2 linked regions of the Arabidopsis thaliana genome follow. The protein of the gene in region 1 interacts with the protein of each later gene in a pairwise test. Each region holds a gene or a part of one and is shown on either strand. Other genes may lie near its edges. The genes, in order: PRA7 and ACD11.

Region 1 (10,470 bases):
TATAGTTATGTAACTTAGATGGCTTTTTTTCTTTCTTTCTTTTTAGCCAAGCTTAGATGGCTAATCTATTTCGTATGTTTCAATAATTTGACGATTTGGTTCTTCTTGCTTGCTATTAATTGTGTTCTATTATCCATTTTATTCTTCTGCCGTTACACCCTGGGTTTGATTATTTGAAAAAGCTAATCCCTCGGATAGATATCCAGACGACTCTATTTTTGTGCCAGTAAGTTTGAGAAAACATACTGGCACTAATAAGAGGAGGGGATACCCTATTTTTTCTTCCATCCCAGACTTCTTCCTTCTCATGTATATGAATTTATATAGTTCCTGGTGCGCTAACACCTTATAGGCTTTAGATTCTTTGTCTAAAGAGAGATTTGAGCGAAAGTTGTTTACTGTGGCCACATCTTTTGGAGAAACTCTCAAGATGCAATTGCTTGTTGCTAGAAGCAAAAGGAGGTAGCAGTACCACAGACCACTGTTCTTGTGAGCGGTGTTATGTATGATTCGGCTATATTTAAGGGATATAGGAGAAGCTCCATTAAGAAGAAGTGGAGACACTGGAATGACTTCCATTTCTGGATTGTGTCAGGAGGCAGCGTTTTTTCATTGAGTTGTCTTGAGCTTGTTTATTCAAGCTCAGATTTGTAATGTCAATGCTGATTCAATTGGTAAAGGGAATGAGGCTCAATATACTATTGAAGGAACAGAGACATATTGTTCCTCTATGGCCATCTGACCATAGTGAGCAGCTTCTCAGAACTCATTTTGGGAATCACCAATGACGCCCTTCTGTAATCAGGCTAACAGCCTTCCATTAGCAGCAGCTAAGAGAGTCTTTGAGGGTCATCTGGATCAATATGAGCGGGATATTTCGTTTCAGAAAACCTGCAACAGGGATTATTCGAGCAGTGTTTGAGCGTTCAGCTTCTTAGCTATGACTGCGATAGGACTGAATCTACTTGCTGTCAGTGGTTTTGGACTTGGTCGGGGTCTGGAGTTGCATGGCCCTTACTCCCCCCACGTGCAATCGTCTAATGGATTGGAAGAATTTATTCCTTGTTTCCACCATCAAACTCTTGTGCCATTAGGCGAACCACTAATTTTCACAGTTGGAACCAATGGATGGACGCTGGTCAGGAGCTGATGCATCGCTAGCAGGTGACTGGGCTGAATCTCTATTCCATAGATTGAATATTGATCCTAAACAACATAAAATGAGGTCGATGTTAGAAGGCTGGGTGAAGATTCCTACTCATTGAGGACAAATGGATCAATAGAAGACAAATCAAAGCGACTTTTCATGGGAGTTACTTCATCATTGACATAGTAATCAGTCTACAGAGTCATCTGAGTAATCAGTCTACAGAGTCTTCTGAGTGTTTCATCAGCTTTTGAGACTTCTGCATTTTCTGATAGGCGGGCCACCAGCTTGCCACGAGATGGGAATTATCTGCCTAGATCTGAGCTGGGATCATTGAACCGTAATAATTCCTTGCTTTATGCAAATATTGAAGGTGGGCATCTATTTGGACATCGTTGATTGAGTGTGCAGAATTGCTCAGTACTAGTTTGAAACGTTTAGAGTAGACATTCTGATGCAGAATTTTATATCTTAGTTTTGGAGCTTTAAAGATGAGAAGGAGAGAAAAGCTTCGTTCAAGTGTAGTGTAGCAAAGAGGATATGATTTTACGGTGAGGTCCTAGTAGTTGCTTGGAGAGATGAACTTTGAAGGGGCACAAGCTGCATTTGTAAGTGAAATTTGTCAGCAAGAAAGCACTTAACAGCAACTTTCTTACGAAGAAGTCTATAGTTTCAGAGAACCTTCTCTGTCTCTTTTGTTGACTATGTTGATACTACGTCAGTTTTTCGGGAATGCACTTTCCAAAGGATGTTGACGTGCATTACGGAAAACGATCTTCCTACCGAGTCTGGAGACAGGTATACTATCTCTCTAACAAAACTTTCCATATGAGGAAGTTTTGATTTTTTTATCTGGTTATATCGTCTAGAGGTTCGTTTTCGTTTTGGCATATAGATATTCATTTATGTTTGTGGTTTTTGCATATAGATACTTAGCTAAACACAGTCCCATTTTCTTCCTACTCTATGTCCGCATCATTAGTTTTGCCACTTAGATCTTGGATTCTCTGTAGAGCTTGCGACACTGGAGGTTGAAGAGTATTTGTGAGACTTGTCAAGATTTCACATTAGTATCTATAGAAAGACGATAATGTTGATGAAATGCTGGACTGATGGAGAAGTAGCTGTTCTTGAAGATGGTTCACTACGTTGGTTTCTGGAGTAGCACGGAAGCAAAGTTCTTTAGAGATTGGAAAGGATTATCTTACCCATGTTAATAAAGGCAAAGGTTTTGTAGATAAGAAATACATAGGATTAGCTCACTTTATCCTGGAGTTTACTGCTACTAACCTACTGCTGTGGGTTTAAGTTTTAAGTCTTTATATTGCTCTGAAGTTAGGTGTAGGTTTTACAAGGATGAAAGGTTGTATCGATTTAAATCTAGAGGAACTTAGTTTACTTCCCTCTTGCTTTTCCGAAGACTCTGAGAACTTTCCAGCTTAAGAGTGAGTTAGAAACGACTTACATCTTCAGAAATGTTTGCCCTCATGTGTTCTTATCAAGGACATATTGAATAGCATTGGACTGTAATCTCTGAGGATTAACAGAGTTGTTACTCCAGATCTAGAATTGAAGCGGTGCTGCAAAGATGCAAGTTTCCAGTAGTGTGAAGCTTCTTGGAACAGTACACGATGAAATAAGGGAGATTTGTTACTTAGCCATTAGATGAGCTTGGACACGGATAGGAAATGATTCTTCTTCAAGCTCCATTCCGGTTCACCTTTTAGACATTAGATGTAGAGATCCAGTCTGCTAAGTCACGTAGCATTGTATGCTTTGCATAAATATTAGCTGTTGAAAACTGCTCGTTTCATGTATATACAGGTTTTGATTATTCTTCTCCTTGTTACAGGCGACAAAGCTTGAAAAGACCATTCATCTACAAGTTGGAAACGACAAAGGGACCGGAATGGTTATAACAGAAACCAGTAAGTGTGTTAACCACTAAATACATCCTCTCATAATCAAACATTTATATGCGTATTTCATCATAATTAACAGGCTGAATGTTATTTATATATATGTATTGCAAGTTATGATCTAAGAATGATTCTGATTCGGACATTTTTTCAGGTGGTTAGAACAGGAGGAAACATCTTGGACCTCTTTCCTTTCACCAAGGTCTTGGTATCAGGAAAGCAACCGTCACCGACTTCCTCAACTGCACCATCTCCTGTCACACTAATTGGATAGGCGACCAAATGGATACCGAGCATGTCTACGACCTTGTCTCCACTGTAAATCTCCCACATTTGCTCTCCTATTGTCCGTAACCCTCGGACACATTCAAGACTCTCTGGCTCTGACGATGATAAGTCATCTGCCGTGATCTTGCCACCGGTATGCTCATACCAGAGCGATAACCGGTAAGCTTGGATTTCGTTGGTGTTGTTGGTATTGGTTTGGTAGCAACCTATTGCAATCTCGGTGTCCCGACAACCATCCATTGATCTCTGGTTTATATTGGCTGATCCTATCAAAATGTATGTGTCGTCCACTACAAACATATGACAATCTCTGTAATTTAAATCTTAAGTGAAAGTTTGTGAAAGTTTAACGAATCTTCAATATATTTTCATTTCAGATTGTGAATTGCGGATTGTTTGTTACCTATCATGAGCTTGGAGTGGACATAGACCATGAATCTCCGATTCCTCTGCGCATTCCAGTAATGCGTTTTCTGGTGGGGCGACGAAACTGCTTCAAACTCCCCATCTCTCTTCTCTTCTCTGTTTGCAAGACAGAAGAAGTTTAGATAATCCCTCGGATGCGACTTGTCTCCAACTTCCCATATCGCCTCTCCAATGATCTGATACATCATTGACATCGTCTCTCTCGTCCAATGAAGTATCTCTTCAACCGTTTCACTCTCCGGTGGCCCTTCCGGCCACATCGGTATGACTATATACACAGCAAATCTCTCCCTTGCACGTATCTTAGCAGCAATCTTTAACGCTATTTCGACAGGTATCAAGTTTGTGCATCCGCTGCAGATTCTATCCATCAAAAAAAGAAATACTAAAATAGATCAGAATCTCCCAATGGATATTTAATAGCTTCGTTAAGAGAAATTTCGTACTTATCGTTCTTGCTCTCCCAATGATCACAGCTTCCCATGAAATACTGATTCTCGATGTAGATAAACCTCTCAGCCTTTCGAATTGCTGCGACATAGCCATCGTGTACACTCTTCTCTACCGGCAAACCTCTTGGCATCTCTGTTGCCGATATGTGATCTATCGATCTCAGAACTTGAACATTCCATTTCCTGTTATTTTCCTCAGTAGGTCCGGTTAGGTTTACTAAGTTTCTGATCCCTGAAGTGTTAACCAACACGGAAGGGTTACACTGTTTCGTCCATCGCTGTTCGAAGTTCTTCAGGACATCCCAAGCCGCTCCTCCAACCACGGACACATGGCAATCATGCCATGGCTCTCTTGGTCCGCCTCTACTTAGCTTAGCTCCAGCTACACTTGTCTGGTAAAAATCAGCTTCTGTTCCGAGTGTACGAAACAGTGAATGCTCCTCAGTGTCATATCGACCATCGCAAAGGTCAAACCCGCCAAGGAAGCTCATGATCTCTCGCTCCTTCGTGCTTGAATTTGTCACCCGTGTATCCAGTGTTATTGTCTTTTGGTGGTGTGCAAACGCTGTAGGGAGCTTTTTGTGCAATCTTGGACACAATCTACAAACAACGTTTGTGTTTCTGAAGTAAGCAAGAGCTCTTTCGACGTTTGTTCTCATTACACCTTTGTTCTTGATCATTGGTAAAGACGTCTCGTCGTTCCACAACATTACTCTCACCGCTACACCTTCCTCTGATTTCCGTTTCAGAAGCTCGCCAACCGTTACTCCAACCGCATGTGGAATCTCAGTTTCGTTGTCGCGTACAAGAACAAGATTAGGGTTTAGTGCCCATCCTGCAATGTAAACCAAGTGCCTAGCACTTTCGATCGCTTTGTAAACATCTTCCCATAGATTCCTTGCATTAAAAGGAACATCATCAACCCTTGGATCAAATGTGGCCTTGTGGTGTGCATCTTGATACAGTACGACTCTGCAGTTCGATCTTTGAGGGAAGCTTGCGTTCCTAATACCTTGAAAAGACGCTTCTTCAAGCGCTCTGCACCATCCCGGTTCAAGATAAGCCGGTCTGAACCACATCAAACACTTAAGCTTCAAGTTACGTTTCGTTGACCCATTGTCTGCAATCAGAGGGAAGAACCCGTTGATAACTGCTGAATTAGATGTCAGGATCTGTTCTGCAGAGATTCGGAATCTTCCGAGAACAGAACATCGAGTCTTGAGCGTGATGGTGATAGTCGTGTCAGTAACCGGGTGAGCGCAGAGGATCTGAAAAGTCTGATTCCAAATACGGTCGTATTCTGAGCTTGTTTTAGCAACTTTCTTCTTGTTTATCTTGATGGTCACGTAAGCTGCTTTTGGCTTTGTACATATACACTGTGAACAAAGATAACAAAAGCTCATGAAAATGAACACAATGATAACATCATCAGAGTCACTAATTCAGTATATGATATAGACTTACATTGAAAGGAAATGGAGGAGAAAAAGGTGTTGCATCGAAGATTGTAATCTCTAGTGTTCCATGAAAGTACTTCTTCTGTTCTTCAAGCTCCATCTTCTCTTTATTCAAAATGTATCTTTAAGAGAATGAGAGATAATTTTCTGTGAATTGTCAAGTATGTGTTTGAAGCTGGTCAATTACAGAATGCACAAGGTTATGTCCATCCATATATGTATATGTATTTGTTAATGTTTTTGGTGAAACTTGTAGGATTCTCCATGGACAATCTTAAAGAAAACATTCAACCATATAGATGACAAAATCGAAGGTGAAGTGTCTTTGAATACAAATCAAGCATTCGACTTCGGTTTTTAAAAATAGGAATTTTAAAAAGCAAAGTGTTAGATGGTATTCAAACAAAAGGTTGGGACTAAAATGTGAAAGCATGAAAATATCTGGTGGAGTTTGTAAATATTTGTGGGGATAAGCCACGTGCAGCAACAAAGCGCTGCCAAAGAAACCACTCGGTCGCAGTTTCTTTGGTGAACTAATAATATGAAATTTTTATTCTGCCGGAAAAAAAAATTAATCCTTCTAATGAATAAAATTATGCTGTTTACAAGTAATTAATCAGATTTATGTTTTGAAAATGACAGAGAATATAATATGCTGTACATTTTCCTAAGAATATGTCTCTATGATGCTGACTGTTAAACACATATAATACCAATATTGTTACCATAAATGTACAGTTGCAAAACAAATAAAAAATTATTACAATATAAAGCATTTATGTATTTATTGGGCATGTAACAACTTTTATCCATATGTGACATTTACATTAGCACCATCACCTAATCCATAGGGACACTGAGCAATTTATAAATTATTACAACCAACAAAAAAAAAAGCTTCGTGTCTCTCTTCTCCAAAAATGACGAACTACGGGGCGATTCCGACGTCGTCTCATCCATCACCGGCGATAGATCTCGAATACATCTCACGCGCCAAACACCGTATAAAATCCGGTCTAGCTACGCGCCGCCCATGGAAATCAATGTTCGATTTCGAATCAATGACTCTCCCTCACGGTTTCTTCGACGCGATCTCGAGGATCAAAACGAATCTCGGCTATTTCAGAGCTAATTACGCCATCGGAGTTCTCTTCATCCTCTTCCTAAGCCTTCTATATCACCCAACCTCGTTGATCGTGTTATCAATCTTGGTCGTCTTCTGGATCTTTCTCTATTTCCTCCGTGACGAGCCTCTTGTTGTTTTTGGTTATCAGATTGATGATCGGACGGTTCTTATTGGTTTATCGGTTTTGACGGTTGTGATGCTTTTGTTGACTCACGCTACTTCGAATATTCTGGGATCTTTGTTAACCGCCGCCGTGTTGGTTCTGATTCATGCGGCGGTTAGAAGAAGTGATAATTTGTTTCTTGATGAAGAAGCTGCGGCGGTTACTGAAGCTTCAGGGCTGATGTCATACCCTTCGTCGTAAATCCAAAAATTTGTTTTTTTTTTTTGTATGTTACTGAGTTTGGTGCGATTTGAGAAAACTTGACATGTTCTTCTACTTTGTTCAATTTGTTGACAACAGTACAATTTTTGAGTATGTTTTGTTGGTTAATTACGTTATTACATGATTAGCACTACAAACACTAATCACTTTGGATAAAGCTACTAAAAAACCATAATTGTCAATTAAGAGGACTTTGATTTTACAAAATTCTTCTATTGATCCTACGCACTATACCAAAAGAAAGTGATCAGATTGGCTAGTTGAGCTTTTAGTTATGATCTCTGAGACCTTTCTCAGTGGATAGTCTTCCATTAAACCTCCCTGAGATTTCATTCATTAACATATCTCCTTCCAATAAACGCAACACCTTCAACAACAAGCAAAAGAGCAGACACACTTGAGAGAGTTTTATTGACTTAAAGAAATGAACATGTTTCAAGAATGGTGAATCTTTTCTTTACCTGAGACATGCGAGGACGCAAATGTGGATCTCTACGTATACACAATGAAGCTGTATGAATCATGCAAATGACTTGTGTTTCTGAATATCGCTTTTCGAGCCTCGGATCAACTAATTCCTCAACCGCATACTCTTCTAATAAAGATCTTGCCTGCTCACAAAGAAAATAAAATAACAAAATGAGCTTCAAGAAAGAAACTTTTAGATTTCATTTACAAGAAGAGACTGAAAATGAGCTAAGAAACCTTAAAAAGAAGAAACTTATGGATTTACCCATTCAGTTAAACATTGTTGTCCCTTTGGTCTGTAGATATCCATTGCTTTACGACCCGTGATTAGTTCGATCAATACAACCCCGAACGAGTAAACATCGGCTTTCTCTGTGATTTGTCCACTTTGAGCATACTCTGGAGCTAAATAGCTAAAACAAGAAACACAGAAAGTAGTTGAGAAATTACTCTAGAGTGAGAATGATGATTTAGTTATAAATTTTGTTACCCGAAAGTTCCTATCACACGCGTGTCTACACCTAGCTCTCCATCAGGCTGCCATCTTGCTAAACCAAAATCTCCAACCTGAAAGAGAAACAAAAACAGAATCAAACGAATGTATAAAAAAGTGTAAATTGTGGTTCAAGAAAATATAAATACCAGTGGTTCATAATCATGAGTAATTAGTATATTGTTAGGCCTCATGTCTCGGTGAACAATGCAACCTACTCTACACTCTTCATGAAGATATCGAAGACCTCGAGCCGCTCCAACCGCTATTTTTTGTCTTGCAGGCCATCCCAAAGTGTCCTTATGGCGACCTAAATGGACATTTCATGAAAGTTAGTTAGATAACTCTAGTTAAGTGTTTTTTAGGTTAACAACATCTTTAACTAACTTGGAAACTCTATTTACCGTATAGATGAGAGTCTAATGATCCATTGCATATGTATTCATAGACCAAGAGTCTTCTGGTATCTTCGATGCAGAAACCGATTAACATAACTACGTTTCGATGCTGAGCACAGCTCAAAACTTCTACTTCAGAGCAAAACTCTACATCTCCTTGTGTACTGGCCACTTTGTGTTGCTTTACTGCTACAATCTGGCCTTCAGGTAATACACCTCTATGAACAGATCCAAATCCACCTTCTGCCAAAAAATTAGCTCGCGAAAACCCGTTTGTTGCAAGCTCTAACTCTTTGTAGGAGAAAAACCTCGGTGGTTTTCCAAATACAGGCGCTTTGTGCTGGCATATAGAACAGAGAGGAGGTGAAACAGGAGGAGCATTTCGTGATAACGCTCTTAAGGTTCCACTATACTCCTCCAAGTCTTTCCTTTTACTTGACATAGCTGCTTCTTCTCCTTCATCAAGCTTAGAAATTTTCTCAAGCAAAGCCTTTTTAGTAGATACTTGAACAGCCTTATCATCGCCTCTCGTTGATTCCTGCATCGAGACGCAATGAGTGCTAAGATATTCTGATATCCATGGTTGGAATCTCTTACTTAAGGAAGGTAGTGATAGATTTTCGCTCTCTGAATCAGAATCAGATTCATTCTCTTTGACGACCAAAGTTTCATCCTTTCTCACTTCAGCTGTGAAAACTGGCGATGATGTACCGAGGTCAGAGCTAGATACTGATGAAGTCCAAGCTTCTGTTCCTGTGAATGATGTCTCAACCTCAGGACTGCTCATTGGAGTAGTTGTAACAACCGCTTTAACAGAATCTAACAACCTGTTTTTGTTTTTTTCAGATGCTAATTCTGGTTCCTTTGTTGAAGACCCGACCAAGTTCAACCGCAGGACTTTTGCCTCAGAACGCTTCATCGCCACAATGTTACATTGTAACTCATCTATGCACCGTTTCTCTTCATGCTTAAGGTGCCTGTAAAAGAAATATAATCATTCAACCACACAAAGAGAGTAAAAACTAAAGAACTGAAGAATAAAATCAGATTATTAACTTACTTATCAAGAACTACCCAATTTGCTTGAGATTTCTTGGCCTCAGCCGCAACAGCTCCACATGGTGATCCAGAAACAATCTTGATCCTGACATTAACCTTCAAAGAAACAAGCATGAGAATAACTCTAGATATTTCAGAATATCATTATTTTGATGGTGGACTAATTTTCAAACCTTGTTTGGATCATATACATCATGAAGCTGGAGAATCATTTGGGAACAAGTATCAGTGAGATCACTCTTTATCTCAGACATTGGATCAGAATGCAGTTTCCAATGACCAGTAGCACAATCTCCAGCAAACCTAGGGAAAGTCCATAGCTTTCGGCCTAACAAAAAGACCAAACAAAAGAAAGACAATGAATAAAACAGAGCAAACTAATCTCCATGATTGGATACCAAAGAAGAAGAAAGTACCAGCATTGTAAGAAGTAACAACAACAATCAGAGTAATGCAATCTCCAGGATGAACAATATGAGTCAAGGCCCAAACAAATGCTGTCTTTGAAATCTCCCTAGATGCTTTGACAGCAACAAGAACCTTCTCAGTCCCATTAGAACCTGATCTCTTCCCCTGTTTCTCTCTGCTCATTTAAGAGGACTTTTGCAAGAACAATTCTCTAGATTCCTCTTGATTTCTAAATGATCCTTGGAGATAAAGTAGCTTCTCGTAGAGATAGATTCTGTAGATATGATTGCATTATTATGGCAAGTTGGAAATCAAGACAAAATCAGACCAAACACACAATACTTTGTTTGCAGATGCATACAAAACTCAATAGACATGACAAGACCTCTCACTCACTGAATCACATAAACTTCAAAACAGAAAATACAAAACCCTGAAGTAAAA
Region 2 (11,743 bases), on another chromosome or scaffold:
TTAAGAATAGGAACGAAATTAGAAAGAGATCTGTCCGCCACAGACCATTGAAATTTCAGGGCTAATTCTTGATCTGTAGCAGTAGGACTTTCCTGAAAAAGACCAAAGTGGCATTGACAGGGAGCTTCTTCAGAAGGTCGGTCAACATGTGCTTCTTTAATAAGATAACCAGAAGGTAATGTGTCCTTCCACCTCTCAACTAAGAAGCGGAATGTCGATTCTGCACACAAGAAGTTGCAGGAATATGAATATTTAAAAGTTATTAGATGCAAATACGGAACTTGGAGTTGAACAAACGGACTTATCTATTCACATAAAAGTTCAACTAGCAACTAGTACGAAAGGGATGAAAATGCTAATTTGATTAAACAGTCAACTTTCTAAGTGTGACCATTGGTAACAAATAAAAATCAAGGGAGAGTGAAAGGTTTTAGTTTTCATATGAAGATTGCACTACCATCAAGCTACAATGAAAGATTATACAACTCTGAGAGGCAGATACATACCTGCTGCAAGATCAGACTTGCAAAACTCCCAACCTTCTCTGAGGCAGAGAGCTGTTTGTGGAGGATAACGCTTGGCAATTGCCACTTCCTCACGAGAGAGATCTAAAGAAAAATTTTAAGGTTATCATGGACCACATAGACCTAGATAAATGCCAAGCTACATCCCAAGAAACAACTTCTGAATACTTTCTAATGTATCAGTAAAACACTTCATTCCTAAATCTTTTATATTTAATCATTGCGGTTATTATTTTTTAAAATACAGCCAGTATGTTAGTTGTGTTATTCCCACAATTCCAAGAAATCCAACCGTTCAGAAGTAGTTTCCATCCAGATTATCAAAAACAATTGATAAAGATAAAATCATTTGTGTTTATCTCCATTGATCTAACATCGCAAAATCTCCTACCTCTTCTAACATGCTATTGCTCAGATTTCACCATCAGAAAAATTCTTACTTGGAAGGCCATATGATGAATGAAAACTTAGACATGCTAGTCATCTTTCTCATGAAACGATCAGTCTTAAGCAAACTACAGCACTTCGTTCTACAAAAGAGTACCTCTGTCATTGAATTTCTTCAAGGTAGGACCTACGAGTAGTATGGATGCCGCTTCCAAGTGAGAAATCTTCAGCAATGGATTTTCCTCAACCCGCAGATGCTGTAAAAGGAAAAACACAATATGAAATTACAAACTACGTATTAGTATATATGTATTGAATTAATGGAACATTGTTTCTGTTATAACAGGGCCAAATGCCATTACCAAAAAATTAAGTACTCAAATTGGACCATTGGTTCAGAGGAGAGAATTTCCCATAAGTGGTGGTTTTTCAATCTTTTATACTAGGTAATCTCATGTCCCATAAGATGTTTTATTAAAGCAGTGCATGCGACAACCAATCAGCCAAATAAGAAATGTGTGAAAAAAATAAAAATTGGGAACATAAAGATTGAAACCTCAAGAACTGGTAGATACGGAAAGTCCTTCAGAGTTGTTATCTTGTTCTTACTTGCTGCTAGTACCTGAGAAAAAAAAATTTATAAGATCTCTAAAAAACTATGACTTGTAACAAGGTACTGAAAACAACCTCAATTCTGAAACAGAAAATCTACCTGAAGCCGGGGCTGGCTTGCCATTGCAAGTGACTTTAATTTATTTTGAGCAACCGAGAGAAACTACCATGGGAACAAGAAAGGTGATAGTTGGAAAAAGTAAGGGGCAATCCACAAGTATGTAAGTATGAAGACTTGATAGCAATTATTTGGCACAAAATTGGAACAAGAGGCTTTGTAATTTCTGATGCTCACCTCTAAGTTTGGAAGTTGAGGCAGACTAGCAAGTGAAGTTATCTGATTTCCAGCAAGATAAAGTTGCTGCCCAAGTAATATAAGATTTAAATGTTCATCAGATAGCACTCATGAAGGAAGAACCAAGGATAGAATGGGAGAGAAAGAAACCTGCAGCATTTTGCAATTCTCAAGTGGTTCAAATCCAGGCCCTTTGAAATCATTAAAACTCAAATCCAGAACCTGAGATTAATGATAGTAACAGAATCATAGCTAGTGTGAGCATATATATCTATTAAAAACCAAGAACCCCAGGAAAATGAATTTACTGACCTTGACTCGATTCAATATCTCAATACCTTCCAGCGTAGATAGGAGATTGTCTCTAAGATAGACAAACTGGAAAGAGTAGAAGTAGAGGAAATTAAAATAAGTTGAATACTCGCATAAATGAGGCGGCATATTTAGTGTCCAAAAGATTGTATTTGTCGTTCGGAGATTTTTAAAACTAGCAGCAGGAACTCACTAAGAAGATTCAAAGTTTTTCCTCGTGAGATGTAAATAACTAATCCTCCCTACTTCTATTCAAATCCACAATTGGCATATATGTACATAAACATCATTGTCACAAAGCATTGCACTAGAACACTGTGAAGTTACTATGGAAATATAAGTTTACCTCTAAGTTTGGTGATAAGTGTAAGCCACCAGAGGTTAGACTGCGAATCCTGTGGCCTCTAAGATCCAATCTCTTAAGCAATTACAGACATCCATTAATCAACAACCACAGAAAGGATTGAACCTATTGTATGAAAATCTAGCAAGTACAAAGAGAAAGTGAATTTGTACCATGTCATCGCCAGCTTTAACCTCCACCTTTGGAAGAATAATGAGTCGTGAATCACGGCTTTCAGGGGTAGATGTTTTCTTCCGTCCAGAGAAGTTGGAAGTCCGGTCTAGAGGTGACGAAAATGACTTTGATCTTATACTGCTAGAAACAGAAGGTGATGATCCCGCAGAGGGAGAAGAAACTTTAGAAACTGTCCTCCCACTTGTGAGAGTAGAGTGTAGTCTTCCACTACTAGTCCTGCTGCCACTACTGTCAACTGATGAAGATGGAGCTCTTTTCGAAGACACAGAAACACTCATGGCTGGTCTAGCAGAAGACTCAGGCTTACTTAAACTAAACCCAGTTGACTTTGTCAAACTCCGACTACCTGGTGATACGGGGACAGACTTTTTACTCTCGGAAAGGCTTGGTTTGGATACAGTCTTAGCAGAAAGAGAAGACACAGAGCTCTTCCTCAATTCTGGAAGTGATCGTCTTACCGGATCAGTACGTGAGGCAGTAGTACTCACTTGCTTAGGCAGAACCTTAGAGGTACCAGCTAAATTCTCTGTTACTCCTCCAGTACTATTTCTCCTGATAGTCACAGGCGTAGTACCCGAGACCCGTAATGAAGAAGACGCAGTTGGCTTTATTAAATTCGAACTAATAACTGGTTTCTTTTTAGTAGAAGCAGCTCGATTTGACACCACAGACACTGCAGAAACACTCTCTGGGCTTCTGCTTTCATTAGCTATAGTTGCATTGTCCTCTTTCACTGCATCTACATTGGTTTCCACAGTTTCTTCCTCAACCTTAGCTGCTACTTCCTCCATAGTGAAATCAATCCAAACTTATGCAGATACAAAAGAAACTCAAATCAGAAGAGACGCATGATCAAATCATTAACAAAAAAAAGGAAACTTTATTCATTATACACAATCTCTCTACTTTATTTGTTGTATCCAAATTTCTCCGAAGTAAAAATACAGAATCAAATGACCAAGTGGCCCACGCACATTGTTTGGAATGGAACGCGCATGTAACAATTACTCTACTTTATTGGGTCCGGTCATAACAGGATTTACTAATAAAAAAAGTACGGACTTTAGTAGATTGTCTAAATTCAAGAACACAGACAAACAGAGTTTCTGGCTTCTTTCAGCTAACACTGTCGGTTACCTTCTACGATTTTTTGGTCCTTTTGTGAACAACCAATCCGCATTAAGCAGTGTTTATTTTTGAAAAAAATGTGAAATTCTTGTGAGTGAAACAAGCAGACGAAATTGCAGAAAGTGAGAGTTTTTAGCAATGAAGAAATTCGGGGAAAATAAAGTTTCTTCATTTAAGGAAATAAACCAATAGTAAGACAGGACAAGGAAAATAAATACTTACTGCACTGAACAATGAAGTAACCAGTAAAATCAAAAACCCATTTTCACCGTTTCACAATAACTCCGGTGGCGAGAATCCCGGCGACGATTCCGGCCGTTGAGAACTTGTTAAACAGAGCAATAGAGGCTGAAACAGAGAAATGTAGATCTGGATGAAGCAGAGAATAAAAAACGCAGCTCACTGATTGAAGCTTTTTTGAATGGAATCGAACAAAAGTGAAAACGACGATTAAAAATTGAGGGAAAATAGCTGGAGAGAGAGATGTTGGCGAAAGAAAAAGAAAAAAAAGTAAGGAACAGTGTAAACAGTGTGTAGCGGAAGAGTGTGTTGTGTAATATGTTTAACCCAAAATATACACCCCTATATTATACTTTAATTTATGTTTTTCACCCTCTTATTTTTTAAAGTTCCATGCAAGTACCTTACATTTAAAATTATCATGCGATGTCGGAAACTCAATTTTGTTTCTAAGTTTACCCGGTGAAAATGATAAAACGGTTATAAAAGTATGAGACAGTTGTGGATAATTATAGTAGTATAGGGACTATAATGAAAAGTAATTATCCAGAAGAAAAGAGAGGAACATTATAAAAAGAGAATAAATTAGAGAATTTGATGGTGAGAGAGAAAAGTTTGAAAATTTAGAGAATTTTAAATTGGCGGAAACCGTAAAGGCAGAGTTAAATGGCAAGTGGACGTTTTTCGAAAACTGATGAAATTGTTTTTATTTATTTAACCAACGATAAAATGATGTGCTCAAAAAGTCAAGAAAACAGATTCCTTTTTAAAAAAATTTAAATTTTTTGTGTTCTACTTATCCTAAATTATTACTCATAAAAATCTTCAATTAATTTTAAAATAAGCTCCACCTAAGAATCAATTAATGTCACTATCTTTTATAAGTAATCAAAATAATTGCATCCGCCATTCCTTCTACCCAATAATTATTAGTATAACCCACTAAATATTATTATCCCCTACCTATAATTTTGGTACCTTGTTTTAATCAATGAAAAGAATCGAAAAACAAAAATATGTATAGCCAGAGTGGAACATAAATGAAAGTTTGAAAAAAATCACATTTGTTGATGATGATAATCTTTTTAACTAAAGTATCCCAATGAAAGCTTCATATCTTAATTCTTGAACATTATTCATAATTCATCATCATCATCATCTTTTCTTCAAGTAGCTTCAACACAAGTCTATTGCCCAACTACTATCTATAGTTTAAGCATACGTATTTATGTTTCTTCGGTTCAATTGCACAAAACCGAATTTGGTTCGGATTCAATTCTATTATTTCGGTATTCCTACAGGTTATTTCGGTTGGATTCGGTTATTCATTCACACGGTGAGGATAATACTATCCAGATGAAGGATAGGAATGATCTGAACGCCAAACAAAGACAATTAGTGATCAGCGAATCGCCGCCTTTTTGAGTCGTCTTGCAGCAAAGTAGATTCCGCGGCAAATCACAGAACACCAATCGGAATAATCACACAAGAACAAAACTTGTTAATCAGGAGAAGACGACAGAGAGAGAGAAGGAGAGAGATCTTCCATGGCGGATTCGGAAGCAGATAAGCCACTGAGAAAAATCTCAGCCGCTTTCAAAAAACTAGCAATCATCGTGAATTCACCGAATCCGGAAGTTCCTGTAACGCAATTCTCTCACGCTTGCTCTCTGGTCTCGCCTCTCTTTGGTTGCCTTGGAATAGCTTTTAAGTTTGCGGAAATGGACTATGTTGCCAAGGTTTGTTTATGTAGTAGATTTGAATCAAAGTCCGAATCTTTTTCTAGTTGTGTTCACTTTCATGTACTATTGAGTATATTGTGAGATGTTGGAATTGATTTAGTTTCTGTAGTACTCAGACTGAATTTTGCTAATTTGATGGAAATGGATGTTGTGTTTGTTTATCTGGAGGATGAATGTTTTGGAAAATGAAATGTTAAAACTTGTGAATGTGACTATAGGTTGATGATCTTGTGAGGGCGTCGAGTTCGATATCGACATTAGTGGTAATGATGGACAAAGATATTGAGGCAGATTGTGTAAGGAAAGCTGGTAGTCATACGAGAAACCTTTTGAGGGTTAAGCGTGGTCTTGACATGGTCAAAGTTCTCTTTGAACAGATCATAGCTTCCGAGTAAGTGATTCTTCTGAACTCTCTCTTATTTGAGTTCTTGTGAAAATTTTGATCAAATGCATTAGCCGTGCCAGTTTGTAGGATGTGTGATTTAAATATGGACACTGAAGTAAATGAAAAAATGGAGTCCTGTTGTAGTTTTCTTTTATTTTTGGTCAAGATTAGAAGATTGAAATGTAGTTTGATATCTTTTGCAGAGGAGATAACTCCTTGAAGGATCCAGCAACTAAGTCTTATGCTCAAGTGTTTGCTCCCCACCATGGATGGGCTATACGGAAAGCTGTTTCTCTTGGGATGTATGCTCTTCCCACAAGGGCTCACCTACTTAATATGCTCAAAGAGGATGGTGAGTTCATCAACTAGTTAATATGCTCAAAGTGGATGGTGTGTTTGATAAACTAGTAGTTTAAGTAGTCAGATTAGTTTCAAGGTCTTCACAGGATTAGGTAGATATCACGGCAATATTTGGCCTGTATAAGTCCTGGTATCATAAGAGAGAACTCTTTGAGATTCACATTGGTTTTAAGTTCATTTGGCAGTAGGATATTAGATTTTGAATTTTCCAATACTATCTCTGTTTGAGATTTCATAAATCGAGTTTCTTCTTCATTATGTTCGCTGACGATATTGTTTTTTTCATTTATTTATGAATGTTGTTACAGAGGCGGCGGCTAAGATACATATGCAAAGCTATGTCAATTCATCGGCACCATTAATCACGTATCTTGATAATCTATTCCTCTCCAAGCAACTCGGTATTGATTGGTGAAGAGCCTGAAAAAAAGGCATAACTATTGTTACTCTTTAGACAAAATAACCTATGTTCTCACATCAAGCTATGTAATGTCATAACAACAGCGACGAAATACATTGGAATAAATTGAGTATGTCCTTAATCTGTCGTTTTATCTCTTCTTTTAATAAACACAGTTTATCTCATAGTAAGCAGAAGAAGCTTTACACGGGTTGTAGGAACGTATTAAACGGTTTGTTTCAATTTCACTCTCTTTGGTTTTGAAATTCTAGTATAAACCAAAGTAGTTGGTGCTTCAAGTTGTGTTACTTATTCAACAAAAAAATATATTATTTTTAATTTTTAATTTTCGTAGGTAAGATTACATAGTAACAAAATGTTAAATTTAACAATGTAAGATTACTATGTAAATGCATGGGCACCAGTAATCACGTATCTTGATGATATATATCCCTAATCCAAGCGAGTCGGCATTTATTGGTGAAGAATCTCAAGACTCATAGTCATCGCTAGTTAACAATCTTTTTCGGACAAAAGCGTCTTCGTTAAAATTCGGCATTATTAACCTTTTTGCCCTTTTAAAATCAGAAAATTTCTGTTTTACTGGTATTTTTCTTTGACGATTCAATTTTTTAGTTGTATTATATATATGAAAGAAGCTTAACTCTCTCTCACAGCTTGATATGTCAGTATCTAAAACAAGCAATACATAATTTAATTAATTTATCATAAAATATTTATGATTAAAAAGTAAAGAAGATAAATATTAAAAAGCTAAATGTCTCTTATAATTTAAAAATAAAAATTAAAAAGGATTGAAAAGTAAAGAAGATAAATATAAAGAAACTATTAGTATCTTATAAATAAATAAATAAACTAAAAATTGAAATATAATTATTTTAGTTTTGAATTAAGAAAATATTAAATATAAAAAAAATTAAACATAAAGAAACTATATATATCTTGTAATTAAAAAATTAAAAAAAAATGAAAAATGAGAAAAAAAATATAAACTCTTCATCATATAATTAATGAAATTTAAAAACTTATTGCTTTTAATTTTTTGTACAATAATTAAGGAAATTTAGAAATTAATTATTAATTTTAGAAGAAAAATGTTAAAATAGTTTAATAGTTTTGATTCACTAAATACATGTGTACATATATGATGGTATGAGGATCAAGAAAGTGCCGTAAAATGTAAAACTTCCAATGTTCCTTAGTGAAAAATGTTAACTTTTCTGTTGACAAGACGTGTATATAAACATCACCTATACCGGAGAAGAAGAAGACACAAAACAAAGTTAAAAAGAAGAAATTTTTGGTGCAGTGAATTCGAAGAGCAATATGAAGAATATTGGTTACATTATTATAGCCACCTTGCTTGTTGGTCTCCTCCTCATCATGGCTCTAGTGGCGAGTTTCTATTGGGCCAAACGACATGTCAAATGTTGTGGCGGAGAGGGACTGTCGTCAAAGGATGTGTTCAATTTACTTATACAATTGGTTGCTTTTATTCTGCTTTGTGGTTTATTTGCTTATTTGGTATTTTTGGTTTAGATTAGTAACCTAAAGCCATAGCAGATCGATAATGCGACTCTGCAAAATTTTCTCTTTATACCGCTGCTTGATAATTAAGTTTTGTTTAATTTAATGATATTGTACCTCTATTCTTGATATTTCAATGATTTTGTTATACATTACAAATTTGCAATGTTATTGTTACATGTTACTTCTATATATATATATATAGAGAACCGAAACGAAAGCAATACAGATACTATGCAAATATATAGTAGAGATAGCAAAATCAACAAATAAAAACATGTAAGAAGAGACATGAGTTCATGAAAAGAATTAAAAATCACATAATTAACAGATGTACCAAGCCTGCCTAGAGTTCAAGACATGTCAACAAATTTGTTAGCTTCTTCTTCAGATCTAGCGTTCGATAGGAATAAACTTCTGAATGCTGTTGCCACACCTCTAATAATCATATCTCGATGGCTTATGTCATAAGTGTCCACAGGATGAAGTATGAGTGATGTGTGGAAACTGCGGTGTTGACCATAACATCAAGAAACCAACCTATATCAGCCCATCTTGGCATTATCTCTGATGGGATGATTTCGTTAGTTGGCTGAACTACACAGCAAATAAACCGGACTATGTCGATCAAACTTCTTCAAGAACCATATCTGATGCCGTTTCTGGCTTCCCAAATTTCACATTTTCAAGCAAAAACCTTATTTGGGTTTCCATCTCATGAATGATCCGGAGAAGGAAGTACCTACTTGAAGTTTTCAACTGATAAAACTGTGAAATGTCAGAGCAATGGTTTGAGACCATATCAACCCCACAAATAGTACTAATTACTACAAACATGCACACTAACGATCTTATAATGTCAAAACACACAAATTTCAAATGGAAACGTACCAAGAAAACAAACAAGACAGAACATTAAAATCACTAGTGATCATCATTATAACAATCAAGCACACACCAAATACATAAAACGAAAGTATAGTCTTCAAAGAGCACAGGCAGGCTCAAACGCGAAGGGACCAACAGAGAAGAGAACGTAGTCGTGTTCACCGATGTTGATTGTCTTAGAAGGCTTAAGCATAGCACCGGTTATTCCATTGTTGAGCTTTGACGGCACGGTGCATGTCATCGTTGCAGTCGTGGGTCCAGGATTCGTAGGCCAAGCCCGGCACGTGTGGAAAGCGTAGGTGGTGAGTTTTTTTGGGGCTAGCATGAAGAAGTATCCGTTTTTGTCTGTTTTTGTCTCCATTGTCACACCTCTCTTTGTGTTGTTGCATGCAAGCTTTACGGTCGCTCCTATCATTGAAAATAACGAAAAGATTTACTTGATGCATGAAAGCCAAGTGGCGTGAGAGACTCGACGAATGCGAAATGCACAAGTACCATGCATATTGTAACATTTTTTTTCATATGTGTAAATTTTTTAAAATACAGTTTTAAGTTTTCTAATAATTTGTCGTTTGGTTTGAAAAGAAGAGAACATGCATGCAACACTATAAAAATACAAATACCACTATAAGTGGAATTTACCTTAAGCATATCAGTGCTTATTTGAGTCACACTAATTTTTGGATTAAAATCGTTAATTCAAGTTCCTTCATTCAGAAATATGTCTACCATGCATCGTTAGCTATAATGAGACTTCCTAAACTCAAGACTATTTTTTGGGGGCAAACACTACTTCATCTCATATTTTGTAGCCATCAAGTGGATAGAACATATCTAATATCTTCTGCGAGACCGTATAATGCATGCATACATGCTTTAAACACCGAAACTAATTCAAGAATCAAAATGTAACTTGCTACATGAGTTAATATGAAGACTAAATTTCATGGAATTAATTAAAAAAAATTGCGGTAAATTATGATGTTATGGATCTAGGAGATTACATGGTAACTAATTTTATTTTTTTTTGCTAATAATATAAATATTTTATTGAAAGATGAAAAAGGTTTAAGACATACAATTAAGTAAATCCTACAATTTTGGTCCCATGGCAAAAAAAAGGATAAAAACATGGTAACTAAATTTTTTGAAAGAGATTGGACGTTATAATGTAACGGACCTTGAAGAGGAGATGCTTCCAAGAGAGTATCGACGCCGGAATACTTGCATGACTTGCAATAAACCATGCCTTCAACTGCCACAAGTCTCCTGCTCATCTTAGCCGGCGATGACGGTGGAGTCATTGGAGAAGCGGATGAAACTGCATTGGTGTAGATGAAAGTCAAGGAAATAGAAAGGAGTAAGAGATATTTGAGAGCTTTTGTTACCAGACCCATTTTTGTTCTTTGTTAGTGAAAAAGATAGACAAATGAGATTGTCTCATTAAAGGCCATATTTAAAGCACTAGCCAAAGCCAAGGCATAGTTCTCACCAAAAAAAAATAAGTGATAAATAATAATATCCGTTTCTCACATAATTATAAGAAAATAGATTTATGCTCCTTTTTAGTTTTTAAAAGAGTTTAATTAGTTTGTTTTGTTTGTGTATTATTCTGTGGAAATATTATATATATATATATATATATCTAACTCTACAATACCATCAAGGCATCAATATCACATGATATATGTATTATAACTTATGTTCCCTCTTAACGAAAGAATACCATTAATATATGATATATCATAATTATTATTTTCTTAAAACATCATTTAAAATGGAACGGAAGAGTAGTTTAGATATTATAGTTTCGACTTCTGATTTTTGTTATGATATTTTGTACAGATAAACAAACTATTCAAGTCATTCATTAAAATAAAAAAAAAACAACTCAATAACATACTATTGCTTAATAATGCTCCTTCATATATAGTAATACTATTGTCAATGGATTGTGCAAGCCAAAGACATGACCTTAAAGTTTTCTTATGGTGATAGAGCCATGGAGGGAAGAGGCTATAAATTAATTAAAGTAGTTGGTGCTTCAAGTTGTGTTAATGATATAGTCCCATCATGACAAGTTGTGTTACTTATTCAACAAAAAAATATAATATTTTTAATTTTTAATTTTCTTAGGTAAGATTACCTAGTGACAAAATGTTAAATTTAACAATGTAAAGTTACTATGTAAATGCATGGGCACCAGTAATCACGTATCTTGATGAAATATATCCCTAATCCAAGCGAGTCGGCATTTATTGGTGAAGAATCTCAAGCCTCATAGTCATCGCTAGTTAACAATCTTTTTTGGACAAAATAGCCTCCGTTAAAATTCGGCATTACTAACCTTTTTGCACTTTTAAAATCAGAAAATTTCTGTTTTA

Evidence for each region.
Region 2: the proteins of PRA7 (region 1) and ACD11 interact in a two-hybrid assay, tested with the Arabidopsis thaliana proteins (one study listed by BioGRID).

What each region holds. Positions count from the first base shown.
Region 1 is NC_003070.9:20,581,841-20,592,310, forward strand, and holds PRA7 (PRA1 (Prenylated rab acceptor) family protein), read left to right. Parts: upstream 1-6,556; 5' UTR 6,557-6,609; coding exon 6,610-7,179; 3' UTR 7,180-7,359; downstream 7,360-10,470. Other genes in the region: AT1G55175 (uncharacterized protein), read left to right, coding at 1,125-1,225, 1,423-1,520, 1,870-1,945, 2,219-2,295, 2,457-2,590; PLDEPSILON (phospholipase D alpha 4), read right to left, coding at 3,217-3,644, 3,758-4,143, 4,227-5,608, 5,697-5,789; AT1G55200 (kinase with adenine nucleotide alpha hydrolases-like domain-containing protein), read right to left, coding at 7,469-7,567, 7,662-7,811, 7,934-8,081, 8,159-8,235, 8,311-8,471, 8,566-9,536, 9,620-9,714, 9,792-9,946 and 1 more.
Region 2 is NC_003071.7:14,624,842-14,636,584, forward strand, and holds ACD11 (Glycolipid transfer protein (GLTP) family protein), read left to right. Parts: upstream 1-5,144; 5' UTR 5,145-5,583; coding exon 5,584-5,775; intron 5,776-5,996; coding exon 5,997-6,169; intron 6,170-6,366; coding exon 6,367-6,515; intron 6,516-6,831; coding exon 6,832-6,938; 3' UTR 6,939-7,241; downstream 7,242-11,743. Other genes in the region: AIR9 (Outer arm dynein light chain 1 protein), read right to left, coding at 1-220, 507-608, 1,069-1,168, 1,468-1,533, 1,624-1,686, 1,819-1,884, 1,969-2,040, 2,131-2,196 and 3 more; AT2G34700 (Pollen Ole e 1 allergen and extensin family protein), read right to left, coding at 9,457-9,767, 10,540-10,756. UniProt on the Arabidopsis thaliana protein: Exhibits selective intermembrane transfer of ceramide-1-phosphate (C1P) and phytoceramide-1-phosphate. Does not transport ceramide (Cer) or GalCer, suggesting a requirement for phosphate in the headgroup for functionality.